Drosophila melanogaster: one gene and its partner. The protein of the gene in region 1 purifies or fractionates together with the protein of each later gene. This does not show direct contact. Each region holds a gene or a part of one and is shown in the gene's direction. Other genes may lie near its edges. The genes, in order: NdufV3 and CG11035.

The links.
Region 2: the proteins of NdufV3 (region 1) and CG11035 purify together in Drosophila melanogaster (affinity purification with mass spectrometry, with the first as the bait; one large-scale study listed by BioGRID). This does not show direct contact.

What each region holds. Positions count from the first base shown.
Region 1 is NC_004354.4:11,345,605-11,356,108, forward strand, and holds NdufV3 (NADH:ubiquinone oxidoreductase subunit V3), read left to right. Parts: upstream 1-4,393; 5' UTR 4,394-4,491; coding exon 4,492-4,821; 3' UTR 4,822-4,870; downstream 4,871-10,504. Other genes in the region: GCS1 (glucosidase 1), read right to left, coding at 1-558, 625-2,278; CG11756 (uncharacterized protein), read left to right, coding at 2,601-3,212; CG1738 (uncharacterized protein), read left to right, coding at 3,568-4,116; CG1737 (uncharacterized protein), read left to right, coding at 6,100-8,931.
Region 2 is NT_033777.3:8,027,409-8,039,476, reverse strand, and holds CG11035 (uncharacterized protein), read left to right. Parts: upstream 1-6,467; 5' UTR 6,468-6,569; coding exon 6,570-7,265; 3' UTR 7,266-7,507; coding exon of another isoform or gene 7,508-7,695; 3' UTR 7,696-7,765; coding exon of another isoform or gene 7,766-8,331; 3' UTR 8,332-8,347; downstream 8,348-12,068. Other genes in the region: unc-45 (uncoordinated 45), read right to left, coding at 2,973-4,537, 4,597-5,875; CG10903 (uncharacterized protein), read right to left, coding at 7,508-7,695, 7,766-8,331, 8,394-8,431, 8,495-8,533; ImpE3 (Ecdysone-inducible gene E3), read left to right, coding at 9,996-10,973.

The sequences.
Region 1 (10,504 bases):
AGTTGGTCCACAACTGTTCCGGATCACGCAGATCGTTTAGCAACTTGGTCAGATACGGCGAATCGTGATCCAGTTGCTCGAGCAGCAACGGAAACAGGCTAACATAGCCAAAGGCGCTGTCCACGAACTGATAGGTCGGCAACTCGCCGGTCACACGTTGCATCTCGGGCAGCTGGTAGTGCTGGTGATGATGCCGCTGCTGCTGCTGCGGCGCCATGGACGGCGGACGCTTCAGCTTCACCTGGTCCGTGTGCAGGCCCCAGTCGGCGTACTGTTCGCTGTACGGCGCCAAATGGAGGCGATTCAGACGCACATTGTCCGTTAAGTACGATGCCGTCTCGTAGTACTTGGCATCGTCCTTGCCCAGCAGCGTGGACAGTTCGGCCATCACACCGGCGGCCAGGGCAATCCAGCAGCGCAGGTCCAGGTGACGCTCCTTGTCCGTGGGATGCGAGGCGCGCGGATAATCGTCCAGGCCGGAGGACAGACTCTTGGGGTTCAATTCGCGCGTGGTGGTCGCGTTCCTGCCGCGCCACAAATATGTGCCCAACACTTCACCTAGAATGGAGCAGTTAGTTAGTAGACGCCACATAGAAAGCGATGGCAGGTGGCTAAGTGACTTACCCCTCTGCGTGGTGTTGAACCAATTGAACCAGGCCTGGACACGCGGATAGAGCCGCTCCAGCGTGGCCAATCTGCCGTTTTGCGACAACTCCGCCCGGTGGCTGGTCAGCAGTTTCTTGAGCGTAAGAAAGAACGTCGGCGGATTGGCGTTGCTATTCCGTTGCGTGACAAACTCCTCGGGCACCTTGGCCAGCGCCTCAACGCCCAGGATTTGCTCCCTGGGTATCCAGCCCTCCACGTTGAGCAAATCGAACCAATGGCATATGATATCCAGCTCGATATCGATGTCCCACGCACTGATCAACAGGCCGTGGAAGCCCTCGTCCCAAAGGAAGCCCCTGGGAAAGAAGCTACGCGACGGCACGGCCGTGTACAGTGGAGCCTTCCAGTAGGGCACCGGATTCTTTGTGTACACCGATTGCACGCGACTGGAGCCATAGAAGTAACCAATGCCGCCAAGCAGATTGCTCAATGCGTTGCGCGCAAATCGCACCTCCTCCGGCGAGTGACCCTTCTGCTTCAGCTGGAAACGATCCTCGAAACGCTGCTCAAATTGTGCTATTTTCGCCTGAAGCGAATCCTGATAGGCTCGTCCCGTCGGCGGCTTGGGTATCGACTCGCCAAGCGAAAAGCCCGACGTCGACTGGTACGTAATGTCCAGCGTGAAGTCCACCTCCGCCGTTATCTGTATGGCTATGAAATTGGGCTCCGGATTGGAGGATGGCAGGCCATTCTGCGAGACTATCTCGCCGGGCAGGCCGATGAAGCGATTGCCACGCTTGTCGGCGAAGGCGCGGAAGTGCGAGAAGAGCGTATCCTTGAGCTTGGCCAGCGACGGTGCCACCGTGCTGAGATAGGATTTATGCAGTATCTTGCCCTTGACGGCATGGAAACGCACTTGGAACTCGCCCAGGCCCTGCGCCTCACCATAGACGCCCGGCTCCGGACTCTTGTCGTCCGACACGTACTTAATGTGTCCATTGGTGCGCTCATCCAATGCCACATACCAGATTAGCGAGATGCTCTTGTCCCACGCCCTTGTCGTATTCCTCACCGATATCCTGGCAGTCCAATCGCCGCCGTACTGCTTGCCCTCTGGATACTTAACGAACGAGGTCTTCAGCTCGAAGGGCAGATCCTGGATCTCTTGAACGCCAAAACTGCGGCCATCGTGATGCGTCCAGCCGTACGAGTCCAGTTTATCGCCCTGCTCGCACCAGTGTCGAATGCCCTGGCCACCGGGGCCCAGATTACTGGGCGTATACCACATCAGGCCCATGACCAGCGAGTGCGGATCCCTGGTCTTCATGCCGAAGTACGTCAACGGACGGTAGGAGCCCCAGTAGCGATCCGGTTGCTCCAGGCCGGCATGCACCACCATCTTCTGGTGATCGAAGGGCGTGTTAACGCGCGTCTCCAGGTAGCCCAGATAGCCGAAGTACGAGGCTATCGCCAGGCAAACGCAACCAATCATCGTTTTCCATTTGTCCAGGATCAAATTCGAGGATAAACTGAAACGCGGGCTGCGCTGCTTCTGTTTGGCATTGGATGCCGCTGCTGCTGCCGCTGCCGCCGCCGCTGCTGCTGCTGCGCTCGATCCGGATGAGGATGCAGCGGGCGTGGAGCCCGAGGAGCTGCCCGTGTTCCTAGCCATTTTGCGCTTGTCCCTTGGCTCTGATTTATCGGCTATTTGTTGTTGCTTCAATTTTCTTGCGAGCGCATTGTTTTCTTTTTTATTTCGATCCGCACTGCGTTGCCGGATCATCCCAACTATTTTCTATGCGGAATTACAAGGGTTTGTGTCCTAGCTATACTATGCTATATTTGAAAACCATAAAATTAATCATTTCCAAAATTTCTTCTCCAAATTTTGTAACAAATCATTTTTCCGTCACATTTCTCGATCGTCAGAAATAAAATCGGAGCTTATGCGTCGCTTGCAATTATTTTAAATTCTTAGTAAACTTTCTTGGAAAATGCTTAAATATTTGGCTGGAATTTTCGTCAGTCCGCGCAATGACTACGCGAATGGTCGCTACAGGATTCCGCATCCGAAGAAGCTGGCCGCCAGGCGAAAGTCGCCCCCGGTGAATATATCCACGAGGAGCGTCATCAATGGCGGCAGGTCGGCAAACGGGAGGCTCAAGACGGAAAATAGAAACGCACGGCGACGTCGAGAGGGCAATCCACATCTGACGCGACCACACAGCCGATCCTCCCAGAAAACCATAGGGATCCGCCTGGATCCCATTAGCTACATCGTAAATGTGCCCAATTCCACTTCATCGCCCGACGACGACGAGGAGGAGGTGCCTGTACCGCAATTGCCCAACGCAGTAAACAAACTGAAGGCTCGAACGTATCGGAAGGAGAATTCCGATTGCCTTATTCCACCGCCAGTTAGTCGCGTCGCGAGTTGGTCGGGTCCTTTGAATGCCAGTCCCTTCAACCAGCTGGATGAGCAGAATTCCATCTCTGACGATGCGGACGCAATGGGCTGGAAAGCGATTTGTTTGCCAGATGATTTTTGGTCGGAGGATTCGGACTCGGAAAGCAAAAGCAAAATGAGTAAAATCAATGTCTTTTAATATACAAAAAATTTATTTTAAATATTATAATAGTTGACCATTCAATAAGATCTTATTATGCTTTTAATAAGTACGAAATTTTACAAATTAATGTAAAGAAATTGTATACTTAATAAATAGCAATAGACTGCAAGCTGAGCAGTTTTTCTGAAACATATTTTGAAATAAAAAGATTTTGTGACGTAATAAGGACATTAAAAAGCGCCACCTTACAAGCAACATTCATGAAAAACGGCGCTGCCAGATGGACCGAGGCGTTACGTGGGAATTAGTACATTTTGGCACTGTACATGTGCATTCAATATTTTGATTTCACTATTATTGCTGCAAATAAACACAGAAAACTGAAAGCATAATGAACGTCAGCGCCGATTTTAAGCCGGTGCCCACGCGTGCAGCGTTGGCGCTGCAAAAGAAGCAGGAGAACACCGAATTTCAGGCACACGTCTTCCACGAATCGCACTTCCAATCGAAAAGTGGAACAAAAAAGCAGGACGACGGCGTCCAAAAATCGCACAAAACCAAGGAGGGCGGCATGGAACTGAATCCCGAATTCGATATCAAGAAGGCGCGCCACGAGGTGCTCAATTTTGCGATCAAAAACCAGCGTGTGATCAAAAACAAGAGCAAAATGGAAATGTTTCAGCTGATCAAGCTGGGCGCCAAGCCGCTGAAGAAGGCCTCCAAAAACTACAAGGAGCTGAAGGACGAACGCCAGCGGCTGAAGAATATTCGCGAGGAGCGCAAGAAGTTCCATCAGTTGGGCAAAAATCAAACGGGCGCCGCCAGCGTCAAATGCCGAACAAAATCGCAAAAGGAGCGCAACGACAAGAGGCGCGCGCCCGTTTCACACATCGATCAGCACTACGGCAAGGCGCAGCCCAAGTTTAAGACGAGAAAATAGTTGTTTATATAGCTCTTAGTTAAATACTAAAACTAGCTTAGTCAAAGGATGGCACTGTTTAAAAATCAATTTATCTATTCTAGCCCTAACGTCAGGCTTAAATTATATAATATATAACTATACCAGCACTGCCAGCATCTTTAACTGTGTAAATAATAATTTAAACATTTAAACCAATTTAAAATATGACCACTTTTATTTTATGCATATTTTTGCGGCCAGGTGGCAGCTTCGCGCTCGTACGTTGCCTTGCCATATTCCTCGCCAATAAGCGCACTTTCCGCGTTACCCAACACGTCCACTTTGTTGATACGTGATTACGTGAATTATTTTTGCGAATTAAACGCTGCAAGCTAGCCAGCCATTAAGTCCAACATGTTCTCGCCCTCACGTGCCCTGCGCCCAGCCCTCAGCCGCTGCTACAGCCAGATCAAGGGCGGACCCGTTTCCGGCGGCGGTAGACCCAGCGCCTCAGGATCTCCAGCTGGAGCCGGATCCTCGCCATCGGGCGGCGCATCCTCGCCATCGGTTGTGGGACTGACCAGCAATTGCGTGAAGCCCAGCAGCGGACCCGTTGGACCAGGTGCCTCCGCCACCGGTGGCTACAAGGTGCCTGAATACTACAGCTTCAATCGCTTTAGCTACGCCGAGGCGGAGGTGGAAATGGCCAAGTACCGCTGCCCACAGCCCTCGGCCCTCAAGTAGATGTAGCCCAATTGTTGATGTTAAATAAAATAAATGCCATTTAAAGAGGACAGTTGAGAATTAGAAAAATCAGTGTTAATCGGTGTCTGTGGCCGATGGGGCAGTTGGGCTGGCAGACATTCTGCAGCACTGGCCGACCGACCGACGGACGCTATACAACACCGTATTACAGCAATCCTCCCCTCTCTTTCCAGTTCCATTTTTCCATCGACAGCGAACCATTTCGAGCGCGCCAATCATAATCGTGTTAATCGTGTCAGAAAGCAAATACAAATTGGTGCGCACATTCAGCTGTTGCAGTTACAGTCGAGCCAAACGATTTGTGTCGCCGATCGCGTGGAATTTCGCCAGCAAAACGCCGAAAAAAGCCCTCGAGAAAAGCAAAAACACACAGGGTCGCTGTGCATGTGTGTGTGTGGTACAGTTGGGTAGAAAATCATCGCCAGAGCGAGTTGCCACCTGGTTGCGCTGCTCCTCTCTCTCTTTCTCGTTCGCTCGCATTTATAATTTTTTTTCTTGTTCCGCCACTATTGCCACCACTTTTGCTGTTCTGCTTTCTGTGCAGCAGCTCAGTTGTTCAGTTCGGTTGTTGTTATTGTGTTGTGCATTCTGGCGTTTTGAAAACATTCTAAATAGCAATAGGCAATCTCTTGCCCAAAGCCCAAAAAGGAAGAAAATATAAAAAACAGTTGCCAATTAAGAGTGACCATCCGCAGCAGCAGCAGCAGCAGAGTTGCAGCGAGAGAACAATAAGCAAAAGAGAGAGCGCGGGCTTGTGAAAGTGCCAGCGAAAAGTGCGATTAAATTGAAGGCAAGCTTAACGCCCGAGAAAATGTTAAGCGATTTTCGAAGGTAAGTTGCTGAATTTCAATCAAACGATATTCTCATCGCTCCATATTCCTACGTGTTTGTGTGTTTGTGTGCATGTAGCTCTATGTGTGTGCCTGCGTGTGCATATGTGTGTGCAACGACTGGCGCGCGAAAAAGTGACGAAAATAGGCGCTAGAGTTGCCAGAGCAGCTAGCTGCACATTACACACATATCAGTGGAATACAGTGGGCCCTGGCTACGCGATACGTGTGCAATGTTGTTACTCTGTAATAAAGCTGCTTGCTTGGATTTCCAATTTCAATGCGATATTTGAAAAATACTACTAATTGCAAATGGGTGAATAACACGATCCCGCTAGCCACAACCCACTGTACTCATCCTATATGGTCACAATGTAACTAATAATCCATTCCGCCTCTTGCCCACGATTCCAGCTACCCATGAAAGATGCGGGCTGGAAAAAAAGAGGCAGCTGAAAGCGTTAAGAAGACACGTAATTGCATCGTCTACGTGAGGAATCTGTACGACGAGTCGTCTTCGCGTAAAGACACGCCAGCCGGCAAACTGAAAGGGAGAGATAACCAACGGGAGGTGCAGCAGGAGCTGCGTGGGACCCGCACCACAAGACGTCAATCCGTCGTCCAGGAGAAGCCCACTCCGCGCACCAGGCACGCTGTGAAGCCAGCAGCGTTATCGCCATCACCATCGTCGCCATCGGCGCGTTCCAAGCTCAGCAGGGAGTCGGCCGTCAAGGAGCAGCCATCCAGCAATCTGGCCAAACGACGCGGCAATTTGCTGCTGGGAGGCAGCAATCATCCCCTGTCCATTAGTCCTCACAAGTTGGGTCTGGACAAGCCACAGCGACGGCGATCCGTTCAAGCGGAGACGCCGAAGATGTTCAAGGTGGTGTCCAGCAAGCGCGTATCGACGAGTCCGCCGCCCACCATTGCGGCCAGTCGTTCGCGCCGATCGATCAAACCGAATCCAAAGTATGTCAGCGAGGATATAGTGACGCCAAAGTACTTGGCCGCCCTGGCCGATGGCGGTGGCCAGTCCATCGGCACGAACGACAGACGCTTGGTCCGCCTGCCGCGAGATGAAATCAGCGATATGCTGGAATTCGAAGAGGACGATGATGACGAAGTGGCGGACGCCGCCTTCAATCCGCAACTGCACAAGTCCGACGATGACGACGACGACGATATAAGCGAGGCCGAGTACGAGCAGGAGCTGCGACGCAAACAGCCGCCCGTCAAGCGTGGACGTGGACGTCCACCGAAGGCGAAAAATGTCAATGCCAATGCCAGCGCGACCAGCGCTGGCAATCTGACTTCCAGCAGCGGCGCCACATCCAAGATATCCATAAATTCGAGCAGCGGCCGCACGGCGTCCACTAGCCTGCAGCAGATGCGTCGCACAATGGCCACGAATATGGCCAAAAGCAATGCCAGCATGACAGACGGATCGAGCACGGGCAAGGGCACTGCGTCCGCCGCGGCCAAACGCAAAATGGACACTAGCGAAAGCGAGAGTCCTGTGCCACGCAAGCGCATAATCATTTCGGGCGGCTCCCAGCAGCGCAGCGGACCGCCTGTGGTGAATGGTGCCAACAGCAAGATGAGCGCGCAGAGAGCGATCACGGCGCGACCGAAGGTGGGCCAGGCGGGCAGTGCGTCAGCCAGGATGCTGCCACAGCGACGCGGCAGCAGTAACAAGATAAACTCATTGTCGAACTCCAATTCGAATTCGATTAGATCCACGCCCGCAACGCGCTCAACTGGCGGTGGTGGTGGCGGCGGCAAGGGTGACGCTAGCAATGATGGGAAAAACGATTCCGAATCGGAGGATATGCCCACATTCACCATTGTAAACATCGATGACATTATCAATCAGGACGATGTGCTCATTTCCAGATCACACACTGCTATGGCCGCTTCCGCAGCTGGCGGTAATTCAATCAAAAAGGTCGCTTTGGGCAGGCCCCGTACCAAGAATATCGGAACCGGCAATTCGGTTGCCGGCGATAAGAAATCCATCACTGTTAACAGCACGCAGAAATCCCTGTCCGCTGCTGTTAACCACAACAATACGACGGCGGGGAATCCAGCCAAGCGCATCAAGATCTTGGCCAGCAACAGTAGTGTCAATACCAAAATGGGACCAGTGCATATCCAGAGTCAACTGCCGAAGCCCCGGCCCAGGATACTCAACGCGGAAATGGGCAAGAAGACGCAGTCGATGAAACCGCTGATGAGCATGGGCAAGGAGCTCTGTCCCACGGACGTCGACACCGAAGAGGACGATCCGGATCCAGATCTCGATTTTGATATCGATAATATACCGGTATCTATTGTTACCCGTAAGAATGCCAATGTCAATGCCAATGCCAAGTCCAAGCAGGTGACGACAACGACGTCGGTGGCGGCGTCGGCGGCGATGACGTCCGCTCCAGCAGCGGTAGCGGTTAACAAGTTGAACAACAATCGGCGCAATGTGCTGTCCACGACAGCGTCGTCGGTGAATGCGCTGATTGCGGACCGGAGGCTGAGCAATCTGCTGGCCGATAACGATGTCCAGCCGGTGTTCAAGAAGCCGAGCCTGGTTCCGCAGCGTCGCAGCAAGGAGAACCAGCAGGAGCAGCAGCGCGACAAGGAGCTGACAACGCTGCGCGAAATATTGCCCACCGGCGGTGGCATCGACGATGCCAACAGTCCCAAATATTTTCCGCCCGAGACCACAACGTTTCACGAGGAGGATGGTCGTGTGGTAAAGAAGATCACCTGCTATGAGACGTGGCATGTGGTTAGCACGGCCAAGGATATGTTGTCGAAGATGGCGCGCCAGCAGCGCACCTGCCTGGAGCTGGCGCTGGTCAAGCTGGCCAATGTGGCGTCACGGATAAAGGTGCCATCGGGCAAATGGACCAGCAAGGTGACGCTGTACAAGGTCTCGCCGTCGATGATGCCCCGCCAGACAATGACCATCTTTACGGGCGATCTCAAGGCGTACAACATACCCGAGGAGGACCGTCACAAGTATCAGCCGTCGTGCGTGCTCTTCCGGCGCGTTGTCGTTGACAAGAACACGTGCCGCGTGCCCTACGATCGGGCCGTCATCTTCAAGAACAAATGCTTCTATGCGAACATCGATGGCAAGCATGTGAATCTGTTGGGTGCCCCCGAGACGGTTGCCACCATCAAGGATGTGGAGATCCTGCTGGATATCGTCGATCGCCTCTCGATCAGCAGCAACATTGTCGAGCTGGTCAACGCTAAGTGAGCGTGGAGGCCTGGTCCATGGTGGCCACAGGAAGAGCACGTATCACATTGTAAAAAATAATTCACACACAGCACTCCCCTCCCCATCCCCATCCCCCTCCCCCATACACATACACAAACAAACAAAGCGGACACTCGATAATTCGTTTTATGCTGTAGTTGTAATAAAACAGATACAAGTTTTTTTTTGTAAAACCATTAACTTAGTTGTAATAGCTAGTGTAGCGTAAATTTATATATATTTATATGTATATATATATATGTATGTATATAAATATATATTAATATATATACACGTATATATAATTATATATTTATATATATGAATATATATATATATATATTTATATAAATTTTTATATATATATATCTCGTATATTATAAACAGCGGACGGACATACATAAATACAAACGGCAGATGTATCTATGTAATATAAACTAAACTAAAGAAAACAATTAATTGTAAAATGCTCGCCCAACTCTCGAAGGGATTGCGAAGTTCCGGGCGGTCGAGGTATATCAATAATGATTTTTATTTTAAATGCGTTGGAATACATAGCCCCCCTCCGCCTTCCCCGCGAGTCCCGCCCCCTTCGAAATCCTTTTTTTTTAAATTGCTATTATCGTAGTCGATTCAATAATATAAAACCGGGCGTACATGTGCCTACGCCCGCGTGGAGGACTAGCCAGTAAGTTAGTCGAGTGTATATCTAAGTGATCCCAATTCAAAGCATACAAATAAAAGAGAAAACTGATTTAAATAACGAGCGCCATTGCGTGATAAATGGCGGGCGGGGTTATCTGGAAATCGGGCAGCTATAAATAAACTGCGGCCAACGCTAGAGATTTTCGTGTGAAAAGCGAAAGAAGATAAGGAACGCAGGCTTCAAGTGGATGGATGGATGAGTTTCCTTGGTCAAGTTTCCATGACAAGGATAAAGACTCTACTTTTAAACAGGACACTCTTCAACTATGCTACATCATTATATGGTAAATTAATACAATTAAGAGTTCAATATAGCTGTAGTTTTAGATTCTACATGTTTTATGTAATAGAAATTGCTATTTTGTTAAATTATAATAAATTTATTGTTTTGAATAAGTATTCAAATTAAACGATATTTATCGATAACTTTGGTATTTAATTTTAAAAGTGTTTGAACTACATTCAAATTGTAAAGCAAATATCGTTAGAGAGAGCATTTCCAATAGAAACTAAATACATTGCAGTTTTTAGTAGTTTTCCATACGCTTTTTCAGAATATTCGTTTGAGAAAATGTTAAGAATGTTCGAATTCGAAAGGGTCTGGCATCGCCGGCAGTGTGACCAACTGCCCGGCGCTTTGGCATTCCGTGCGTGACGAGCGGCTAACACACTGTTTTTTTTTAGTCTCAAAATTCTAACAAATTTATTGATAAACTAGCAATATGCTCGTTTCGCCCTGCCCCCGCTGCGTGCACCGACATTAAAGCGCACCAAATCGTGCTAATGGAGCAATATCAACGCCGTGCAAATCGACGAATTAACAGCCGCCGCTTCCATTGAATCGAAATACCCAGCCCAAAAAAAAGAG
Region 2 (12,068 bases), on another chromosome or scaffold:
GCAACAAAACAATTAAGGCAAGGTGAGAGGACAGTGGAGTGGATGGGTGGGAATCTGAAGCAAAACTGCAAGCTCAGCGAAATGAAAGCAAGTGGCGCAACCTTAATGACAGTGGGCAGTGCACAGTTTGGCCGGCACTGGACCCTCACCGCCCATTTCGGGATCTTCGAGTTGCAGCCCCCTTTCTTGTGTGGTCGGTCGACAATTGTCATAACATAAACATTTGCACTCGGACACCATTTTTGTAGAGGATAAAAGGAGCATGCCAAATTAAAAAAAAAATAATAATTAAGATGAAACTTCTGTTGTTAATTATCCATGAATTGCTTGCCTTAAACTAAATTAGATGCATTTTATTATAAATTAAATTGAAAGGCGTAATGTGCTTTTATAGCTTGCCAATGTGTTTCATTTATTGTAAATGTAGTAGGTAGTAATTTTTATATCTTTTGCCAAGCGATTTTTTTTCCAGTGCACTTTCATGGCTGGCTGACAACATTGTTGCAAGTTTCTGACCATGTTACTAATGGCATTCGATGATTTTGTTGGTTTTGCCTGGATTCTTCCTCCAGTCTGAGATGCTTAGCATATTCAACTATTTGAGGATCAAACGAGTATCTTAACGATTCCGGCCAACGACATTCGATTGATATAAATTTTGAGCCAACTTTCTGGCTATCACCACAACTTGTCCTGGCTCTTTGAATTGTTCGGTCGGTGGTTGCCAGTTTTAAGAGCGATCGATGCACATTTTCGGCTTTCAACGAATTTTTTGCGTTTAGCCATCGATTCAAACGCTTTTCGGCAGATGGCAGCAGTTTGATTAATTACCATGGCCAATGCGAAGAAAAATCGCTGTACGAGTTTTGTTTGGCGGTGCTCTGGCAAATTGTCCACAAGTTCTGGCGAAATGAAAAAAAAAAACCATTGAGAAATGTCTGGCAGGGGAACACTTCACACTTTACATTGTCACAATATTCACATTCAATTCACACACACACTCATCTTTCAACTCAAAGTTCTGCCAGTTGGGAAGAGGAATCTTCCAAAAGGGAAACCACTCGTGCAACCTGAGTTGACACCTGCACCAATCTGATGTCTCCATAACCGTAACCGTCTTACATCGATTCGATCGATCCGCCTAGCCACTTGCACTTTCAGCATCGTCTTTCTACTTGCGGTCAACTTTCATCTTTCATCCCGTATCTTTTGCTGCCTGCACTTTCGTTCAATCGGTCAACGCAACGTCGCTGGCGGTGTATCTGAATCTGTGTTTTTGTGCCCCTGCACCAGCATCAATACACTAAGAAAACAGAATTAGTTCCATTTTTATATATGCTAAATTAATATAAAGCAAGGAATCTACTGGGTATTAGTTAGTTTTCTATTTTGAAACGAGACAATTTCAAATCCAGCATTAGTTAACTGAAAAGTTTATTATTTTTCTCCCAGTGCACATTTGTTGCGCCGCATCGCCTGGGGGGGGGTAATTTGCATATTTTCCGCATGCGCAGACGACTCGAGTCGGCCAGTTTATTAAACAAAAATATTGACATGAAAATCGGCTTTCGATTTCCACGGGACAAATTGGGCGGCACCAACTGTGTTGCACCACACTGAACCGCACCGCGCCACCAAACCGAGATTAAATGGAAAGTGAAGATGCACATATGTACGTCGCCAATCAAGCCGATGAAGCTCTAAGCCAGTGCTTCCGATCCACAGTCTTAGCAAACTCTTTGCCACACGGTCTGTGTCTGTCGTCTGTGTAATTAGGACAAAATGTCTCATTTTGACCAATGCCGAAAAAGTAAATACAACCGAAACCGAAAGTTTCTGCTTCTTGGGGATTAAGTCTGGGATTATTTTCTTTATTATCGATTTCTCAAATGGAAGAAGAGTGTACATTTATTATGAAGTAGCCGAAAAACTCGATTTTCAATATTAAACAACGCTATAGAAATGAATTTCAATTTGCTAATATATTTCCACGGAAATATCCTTTTTACATTTTTTAAAATGTCTTTTTTTACCATTTTTTAAAATGTTTATTCCCCTAACTTAATTGTTTTTATACACCAATTTTTTAAATATATTGCCAAGCATTAGTTTGTTTCCTTCTGGGGTCTTACATCAACATATTTTATTTCAGCTTATATCCCTTTAGCATATAAGGGTCCTGAAGAATTCATCTTCCTCATTACTTTACCTTCTAACCACGTTATTTATATTGGTCAAATTGAGCACAGTATATGGTTTAAGGAGAAGAGGAAAATGCGAAATAATCGCGGGAAAAGGAATGCCAAATGGCCAAAGACAAAAAGCGGGATGGATTTCGGAATAAATGCCGTTAAGTCATGGCAACCGAATCATAGCAACCGAAACCCTCGGCCATTTCCCACTGCGCTGAGCCAAACTAAATTAAAGCAACTATTATTTATTTAATCACACTTCATTGAGATTGAGCAATCAGCTGGAAGAGATGCTCGGCTCGGAATTCCCGGCTACCTGACACTGCAACACTGCCGCATCAGAAGCATCTTCTGCATTAGAGGAAGTCAGCTACCTCGAGCTGGCGACTAATGTGTGGCAATGAATAGAAAACGTACCGAGGCAGTGCACCGGGGAAAATGGAGTCGGTGGGAAAACACTAGGCCATCCTAGTGGCCATCCATATTACAATCCAAATCACATTAGGCCGCAGCAATTAGGCTTGGATTAGGCTTGGTCTGTATTAAATTAGTTAAATTAAAAAATCGCGTATTCATGAAATAACTAAATAATATATTATATTACCCACTAAGGAATAAAACAAACTACCTTTAAAAACGAAATAAATTCGAACAATATTTATAAAACAGTTAAGTACATTTGATATTTTGAAAAATAAGTTAAATTTCGCGATGACACTGTGAGTAAAGTAAAGAAGATGAAATGGAGGAAAAACAAAAGGCACTACAAACGAATTTCGCTTAATCATCGATAATCTCAGATATTTTCGAATTTTCGGCAAACACATCGGGGATTTCCGCGTTGTCGGACCGCTCGATGATCCTATAACGCTCCGCCGCCGCCAGGCACTGGGTGGCCACCTCTCGGGCCTTGGCACGCGTGTCATCGGGCAGCTGCCCCAAACCGCTCAGCAGTTCCATAATGTCCGTTTCAAACAGCTTTTTGGCGATCTCCTCTCCAGCATTGATCATGTTTAGAATAATCACAATGCCTCGATGCTGGACCGCCGGACTGGGATTGGCGATCAGAGTGTGCAGAATGTCCAGCCAGCTGGCGATGGCCAAGATCTTCTCACAGCACTTGACAGACACTGAAGTAATAATGGCCAGAGCTCCGGCACAAGCTGTTGCGGTCTCCTCGTCCTCATCCTCGCAGAGAAGCGCCAAGAACTTCACTCGGTCGTTATTGCCCTCGAACATTTTAATGACATCCTCACTCATAACCAGATTACACAGACACTGGGCAGCTGCACGAGTCAGGTACAGATGGTCCTCCATCAGATAATACTCTATCTTGGAGACCCCCTGCTCCTTGATAATCCTCTGGCGCACGCTCTCGTTCATGCTGGCTAGATTGGTGAGTGCCATTAGCGACTCAAAATTCTCCAGCGCTGTGCAGTCCTGTTGCAAAAGGTTCAACAAAGGACGGATTACATCAAGCGATCGCTGGCCACTGAAAGATACTTCCGGATTAATGGTTATGCCAATCCTAGCCAACGCCTGGGTAGCATGGCGTTTTCCTTTCTCAGTTCCCTCAAGCGCCATACGAAGCAGCGCCTTAACGCCGCCTTCTTGAACCACTTTTCCTCGCAACTCTTTCAGTCCACAAACCGCATTCAAAACCCTGGCAATCAGCTCCTGTGAATTGTGGCTTTCAGTTTTCGCCAGTGCACAAAGAGCAGTTGTTATGCCCTCATTTGCCAGCACAGTAATACGCTTATTGATGAAATCTACGTCGTCCAGCTCGTGCTCCTCCGGTATGTGTTGCTTAGCAAACTTGGCAAGTTCTATCATCTCAGGCAACATCTCCTGCTTCTCATACGCATTGCACAGATTCACAAAAGTAGTGACCACACCATAGAGACAGGACTGATTTCCTCCGCGGGCCAAATCCATTAAAGCGTGAATGGAAGCCTTATCCTCAATGAGCTTCTCCTTACATTCAGCATCCAGTGTTAAATAAGCCAGACCATCGGCAGCCCAACGACGGATATCCTTATCCTTTCCAGGTTTGATCAAAAACCGACGGCATGCCTCCGCCAGCTTAAGGGCAGCTCCATCGCCAAATGGTCGGATGGCCGCGTCCTGACCGCCGTAGCTACCCAGCTTGCAAAGACCCACCAGGGCGCGTACTCTAATACCATCGTTCTTGGAGTGGTAGAGCCGCTTTAAAATATCTACTCCCTGCTCACAAAGAGCCTTGGCCTTGTCCTTTTTAGAGGAAGCGGCGATTAGGCACTCACATGATACTCGCTGCTGCAACTCATCGTCGGTCGTAGCCATTGCTAGAATCATCTGCAGTATTCCTGTTACAAATTTCACCATTAATTAAGTACCATTTTCTAAATCCAATAACAGAACTCACCTTCTCTGGCCACAACCTGATTGCCCACATCCAATGGACCGTTAAGCAGGGCAGTAATCGCAACGGTGACCCGCACCTTGGATTCCATATCAGGCGCCAAAAGCTTGTCCTTAATGTATTCGTCGATCTGGTCCGTGAACCGTGCCTTAGCTTCATCGTAGTACATGTTCTCATATATCCGGGCCAGACAAACGGATGCAATTGTGGATGATGAGCCTGTGATATCCATTGCACTCTCGTACTTATAATCCTCCAGTTCGGAGCACACATCCAGCAGACGGCACAGTCCCCTGATCTCAACCAGGCGTTCGGCCCATTCTAGAGCTGTGTAGTGGACATTCCTGGTTATAAGCTCAATAACGCCATCCCTAGCTGCTCCAGAAATCGTGCGATCCGTGATACTATAAACTAGGCATGTTAGGAGAGTGTCAATTTCCCGGTTGTTCCTAGTGCACAGCTCCTTCTCCGGCTTCGAATCGGGTTTGTTCTTAAGCCCAGACAATGCGTTCAATATTGTTTGTAGGCAAAACTGGGCGGTGGACACACAGTTCTCGTGTTTTTGGTCGAGAACCCTCATGAACCACGGTACTCCGAGTTCAGTTAAAACGCCCTTTGTACGCTCGACGCTATTTTCGCAAAGAGCAGCCACCAAATGCACCATATTCACATAAATGTCCTGATCCTTTTCCACCTTTGTTAGTGAGGCCACTTTGGCGATGCAGTGGTCCTTGTAAAGCAGTTCAGCGCCAGTCTGCTCTTTGGCCAAAACTACTAGGTTATTGGCTGCCGCGCGACGCTTATCGATGGGCGTGGCCAAATCAAAAGTAAGATCCATCATCTGCTTGACTTTTGTGGATGTCTTGGCATTACGGGCAGAGCGCTCTTCCACGACGACATGAAGCCTCTGGAGCATGGGCTGTACGGTTTTGTTGCCGGGATCCGCTTTAAACAAAGCGGTTGCGTCTTTGTAGGCCTCTTCGAACTTCTCCAGAGCTTCGTACGCCTGAGCCCTACGGAACAGTGCCTTGGGATCCCCCGGAGCCGCTTTCAAAGATTCAGTGCAGTCCTCTACCGCATTTTCATACTTTCCTAGCTTCAGATAAGCGGCAGCACGATTCTTATAGAAAACCGCCAGCTCCTTGTGCTTAGAGCCCGCCTTAATGGCTTTGCCATAGTGCTCCACTGCCTCCTCCCAGCGGGAGGCCTTGAACGCCTCGTTGCCCTTATCTTTGTAGCTTCCTGCGTCGGACACTTCCTCGCTGTTGATGGTGTTTGTCATGGTTACACAATTTTCTGTATAAAAAGACAAAAACTGTAGCTGCAACTTTTTATTGTTAACGGATGACTCACTATTCAGTTCGGTTTTGTGCCTTCTGGCCTAAATTTCGACCACCAGAAACTTCTCGATCGCTCTCGAATACACACAGATACAGTTGCAGGCGTTTAGCGGGAAAATCAAGCACGCTGCGTGAGACTATTGAACCGGCTGCTGCCCTGTTCTATATATAAATAAAAATTGAGAAGACTCAAACCAAAATAGTTGCAACAGTTGCCATTCGCAGCGAATCGGCCAAACAGCTGACTGGAACCGTGGAGCTTACGTTTTGCTTTTTTCATCATAGCCCAAACAGCTGACGAATTTCAACTTTACTAAAGTCTTAAATTTTTAACTAAGCCAGGGATTACAAATATTTTTCTGATATATCTGTAAAAACTTTTTTGAAAATCATTTATTCTGTAAATATTTTCAAAATCTATCTTTTATAAATTAATCAATTACAAGCTCTTTTTCCTCTTTCAGCTAATTTTTTGCTGTACCTGCACCATTGGTTCAGAATACTATCGATCTATCGATAACAACGATGGCGAGGGTGAACAAGTTCAAGTTCAAACAGCTGATTCGATTTGTTTTTAATTTTCATGTGATATAACGAAACCAAAACAAGTGAAGCGGGCGAAAGAACACATCCAAGATGTACCAGCACAGCCCAATGTTGTGGCGACCTCTGCTTCTGCTGCGTGGCCTCTACCTCAGTCAACGCCACCAGATGAGCCACTACGACGCACTGGGAATCAGGCGTCAGTGCACGCAGAACGAGATCAAGGCAGCTTACTATAAGCTCTCGATGCTTTATCATCCGGACAGGAACCAAGGAAGTGAGAACGCAGCCAAGAAATTTCGGGAGATCAATCAGGCTTATGAGATTCTGGGAAATTACCGGCTGCGTCGACTTTACGACAAGGGAATCGTACATACGGCAGGCGCCCAATATGCCCAAGATGTCCACGATGTAGCGGAACCCGTAGTCGAGGACGATGCGGAGACTAAGTTTTACAAGTCGCGATTTCAGAAATCGCGTGTATCTGATTCTGCGGGCCGTACGCCCATCTATGACTTCGACGAGTGGTCGCGAAATCACTATGGTAAATCATTTGACCGGAGACAAGCCGCCCAGGCCAAATACGATCGAATAAAAGTGCAAAGGGAGACCAACAGAATATCAGGCCAGACTGACATGGTCCTGCTGGCCTTTATCTTTGCCGGAGTGGCCGTATACCTGATGTTCCTCGCCGAAAGCTCCTACGACACTCCCAAGCAGAAAGCGAAGGAACGATACAGACGCGATCAAGAAGAGCGAGAACAAAAACTAGTCGGGAAGCAATCTTAGAATTCTCTAGTCTTCAGCGTACATAGACTTAAGTTAAATGAATTAAATTCGAAACAATATAATTTTGTGAATTAAAGATGTGTCCGTTTTACTTAAGATGAATAGCAGCGGGACTTATACATATGTATATAAACATCCAACGGCATTGTAATATCCTTAATCTGACTCAAGATCTAAAACATATAGACAAAGCCGCAATTAGAGATTAGGTCTGTCACTAATTTTAAATGTAACAACTTTATTCAAAATTTGCCGCTGCGCTTGCGTGCAGTGTACTTTGTGTCAGGACGGGTTTCCAACCCCTGGCGACGTCGACGCTCTTTCTTGGCTAGGATCCAATCGCGGGATTTCTTTGGCGCTTTTCCCCGAGCCTCACGGCAAGCATCACGTTTCTTTATATAGTTTACACGACGTTCCTCTTCAGGTGAGCCTACAAAAGCAAAGAAAAATGATGTGAAAGTAATTATTAGTTTTCTATAATTATTATTATTAAAACTAACCCAAAGCCTGCGGCAGCTCAGCAGATCCTCCAGTCATGAGCACCAGGTAGTACTTCTTAGCCTTGGCAGAGTTTGGATAGTCGACAACCAATCCTCCGTAGAATCCCGCCTTCATGGCTTGCGAGGTTACCATCTCGATCTGATCGGAGTTCTCCGGATAAAATTGAAAGACAGCTCGCGCGGTGCGTGTCAGACAGGAAAACAAGGTGGTAAAGAACTTCAGCAGGCGCTTGTGGGGATTGTGATACGACTTGTCCGCATTGCAGAGCCATTGGAGGGCAGAGATCGAGATGGCGCCGTCGAAAGTGCCCGGCTTAAAGGGCATTCCCTCGCCCATGTCTCCCAGAATGACATCCCCAGCAACCTCGCGTTCCACGGCGATATCGAGCATAGACTTGGAAATATCTATGCCGATCCACATGTGCTCGCTGTCCTCAAGAACGCTACCTGAGAGTCCAGAACCACAGCCGATGTCCAAAATCAACCGAGACTCATCATCATCCGGGAGCGCCAATAGTTCCAAGGCACGTTCGGCCATTTCTACTTGGATCTCAATGATGCGGGTGCTAAAAAGTTCTGGTTTTTATGAGTTCGAACATATACATACATATCTATCTAATCTACTCACTTTGTGGAATATTTCTTGGCCTCATCATCGTTGTAGAACTAAAGGAATAAAAAATTGGTGAGGGTTCACTTGATGGGCAGTACGTTATGGCGTATACTCACAATTTCTGGCGGCGCCGAATGCTCTGGTCTTCTGGCCATTCTTCCTATATTATTTATCTGTAATTTACAAAGTTGTGCACAGAAATTCTGGAGCGTTTAGGTAAACAAAAAAATAAGCACATGTGCAATCAACAAGCAGCTGTTTCTCATTCACATCGAAACGTAGACAAATGTTTAGACTATCGCCATCGGCCAAAGTTATCGAGCTAGCCTACACAAACCGTATCGCAACGCAGTGAAAATTCGTGAAAAATTCAATTTTTCCAGTAAACTAAAAGCAATAACCATGTGAAGAGAGTGATTTTAATTGTAAACTTGTTTGTGCACGAAGTGAACCGGTGAGTTGAGTCTGAAAGCACGTCGAAATTGAAAACAAAGCAACCATTTGCATGGGGCCAATTTGGGTGTGGGAGTGTGCCAGTGAAATTGTTACCTGTGTGTGTGTCTTGGTTCTGACGCGTCAAAAAATACACATGACACTATTAAGTGCTAATTGGCCAGGCGGAAGTGCAAAAAGTTTAGGTGTGCGAGTGTGAGGCCGTTATGTCTGTGCTAAAAAAGCAGCGGCACGGCTTGCTTAGGAAACCCGTTATGCTAAGTCGTTTACCGTGCTCCAATTTCCTCGAAAAAAGCGAAAACTCATCTAGACGGCAACACAAGAGCAACAACAACAGGTTAATGCTTCTCAAACAGCTGTTTGCCGGGCTCCCTTGCTCTCCTTTTTTGATCGACAGCGGTCATCAATGGCTCTCAAAGTGTCGCACTTGCAAGTGATTCTTAAACTGCACCAAAGATGCATTTAATTTAATGTAAGAGCTTTTGTACTCCTTGCAAATGAATAAAGCACCCAAAATCAGGTTTATGTGCGGTTCGCCTGCTTTCTGCCTGTGTTTGTGCACACTTTGCATATTTATGACCAAACTGGTTGTTCTTTTGGCAACGGAACATCTTTCACTCTTTCCAAGAACAACATTCTCCGCCAAAAGTCGGTGGTTACAAAATTTACGCAACAAGCGGCGATCGCGGTCGCTGGCCTCTCCACTCAACGAGTTTGCTAAAACCCCCAAAAAATCGCATGTGAAAAGTTGAAGCCCAACACCGAAGCTATAAGTATGCTCAGAAATCATTGACGCTATTCCATTAGGGCAAATGATTTAAAAAGGAAAACCGAGAAGTATTGCTTTAATAACATTTATTAATAGAAATAAAAGATTGTGATGATACTCAAATTAATATAAAATCAATACAGATTAGTTGTAATCGTTTGACCCTGAAGATTTTTTTATATTTTCTGCGCGTTAAAATACCTTTTGAAAGAGTATAAGCTAAAGCCGAACCCGCTGTCACCCATTTTGAAAACCAGATACAGATACGGAGACAAAGACAGATGCAGAGCCAACTACAGATGCTCGCTGGTTGCTGGGAAGAGTCGCTTCAGTTGAGTGCCTCCATTCCCCCAGAGTAAACCGTTCCCGCCAGAAGAAAGTAAGAAAAGCGAGAAATGCGCAGTGGGCTAACGGTTCGTCCAATGCTGGTGGTGCTTCTAGTGGGTCACCTAGTGGATCCAGTGGCGCCGGCTAACCTACTGACTAGCTATCTGCCCGCCTCCATGCAGGCCTTGGCATACTATATTGACCTGCTGCAGTACGAGCCACTATCAAGCACAACAGTGGAGCCTCCTTTCAGTGCGGATGAAGAAGGTATGGAATCCACCACTGCAAATCCGCGCCCATCCACACCGTTGCCCACGAGGATGAGAACCACTACCACAAGGCGACCGATTGGAGCAGGTGCGTCTGGATCTGGTGGCATGGGCTGGTGGCAGCCGCCAAGTTGGTGGGAAACGCCGAAGAGATCATCCACAACCGAGAGACCCACATCGCCACCCACTGTGCCGCACCGTCCGGCAATTTTTGCACCAACTGCGCCGCCGGAAAAGTCCCTTGAGGGCAACGATCTATTTGCAGAAATCAAAGATGATAGCGACTTTGATACCCTGCCTTTGTCTTTGATCCGTGATATTCAAAGCGAGCGCTACGACTTTACCAACGATGTGGAGTCACTGGATAACTTTTTGCGCCTCTACGACGATAACTACGGAAGGGCCGCTTTCGGTTCTGAGTCCGCGATGGATCGATGGAGCACCGCCTCGATCGCAGGCAAAAAGAGAGTTCCTCCCACTAAGCCCTATGTGGATTTCCTGCTGGTTTACGATCTGCTAAAGCGCGATGCTAAGGCGGCGAGTCTGAGCAAGTACGAGGGATATTCCGAGAATCTGCTGGTGGAGCTGCATGCCTTGTCACAGGTTTCGGCGGCCAGGCAATTGTATACTCTATTTAAAAGGATGTTGGACCGGGGCGATATCCAGCGCAGTGACGTGGTGGCCCGCGTGCAGGGAATCGCCAAAGATCTGGGGAATCCCAAAAGCCCCACTTCCAAGGCATTGACTTTTATTCCCAGCATGCAGTTTTTACCTTAAGCTCTTAGCATAAGTCGCAATAAAGTCGAAGGACCTACTGACCTTACAATTGTGTGTGTACTTTGATAAATTCGAATTTTTGTTTTGGGGAATAGTCACCCAAAATCAGTTTGAAACAAGAGCTGATAAAATAGTTTATATATTTATTTGAGCACATTTTTTAGAAATATTAGACAGTGTACAAAGTTTTGTTTATACATAATTTGTAGTGCATTGTTGTTTTATTATTGCAGATTAATCGGGGCCTTGTGCAAGGTTTCTAACATTTTCAATAAAATAAAAATCGAAGCAACTATAACGCGATTTGTGCTTCTCACTATATTATGTAACTGTTAAATCAGCCTTGGCACTTATAGATTTGATTAATCTTAGGACATAAGTAAATCAGTGAGTCGCGGTCTGAAATATAATTTGACTTGCAACTGGCGAGGTAGGGTTAATTATTCGCCTTATGTATTATTTTCTCTGGTCTTTAAAAACCTAAATAACCTTTTTTCAGTATCTGCTTTTAAGCAAATTAAGTATAGAACTTTTTTCTGAATGAATTTGGATTTGGGACCGATTCTAAATCATTCGGTAGACCCTTTACGGCCGGAAGTGCCGCCAAACGTGTTCTCTTAGGACAAAGCAAGCGGGACAATTGTCGCAGGACACTGCACCTGGGCTTCCCTTCACCCGAGCGCCGAATCAGCGAAACGACTTAACTGACACATTGACATAGTTCACGCCAATGCGGGTGTGTGCGGACATCGGTGTTAATGTGCCCAAAAGTCTATAACAGTGCTGGCTGCAAATTGTTGCTAAATCAGCTGCGATTCTAGCGTGCGACGTCATCGCCCGCTCTCTCACAAGCCGCTCTCTTCCGGCAGCACTTGCCACCCACTTGTACTCTTCTCGAACGTGCCCCACAGCGGGTGTTTTTCCCGTGTTCTTTGCGCCGCTCTTTGATTTTATTTTGTTTTGGCGCTCTCTCACTTTAAAGTTCGTACATTCGTACACTCGACTTGTGTATACACTTTTAAAGGCCTTTTTTCAAGACATATATTATGCAAATATTTGCAAGGAGGAACACACTAATTTACCAAACGTTATTTT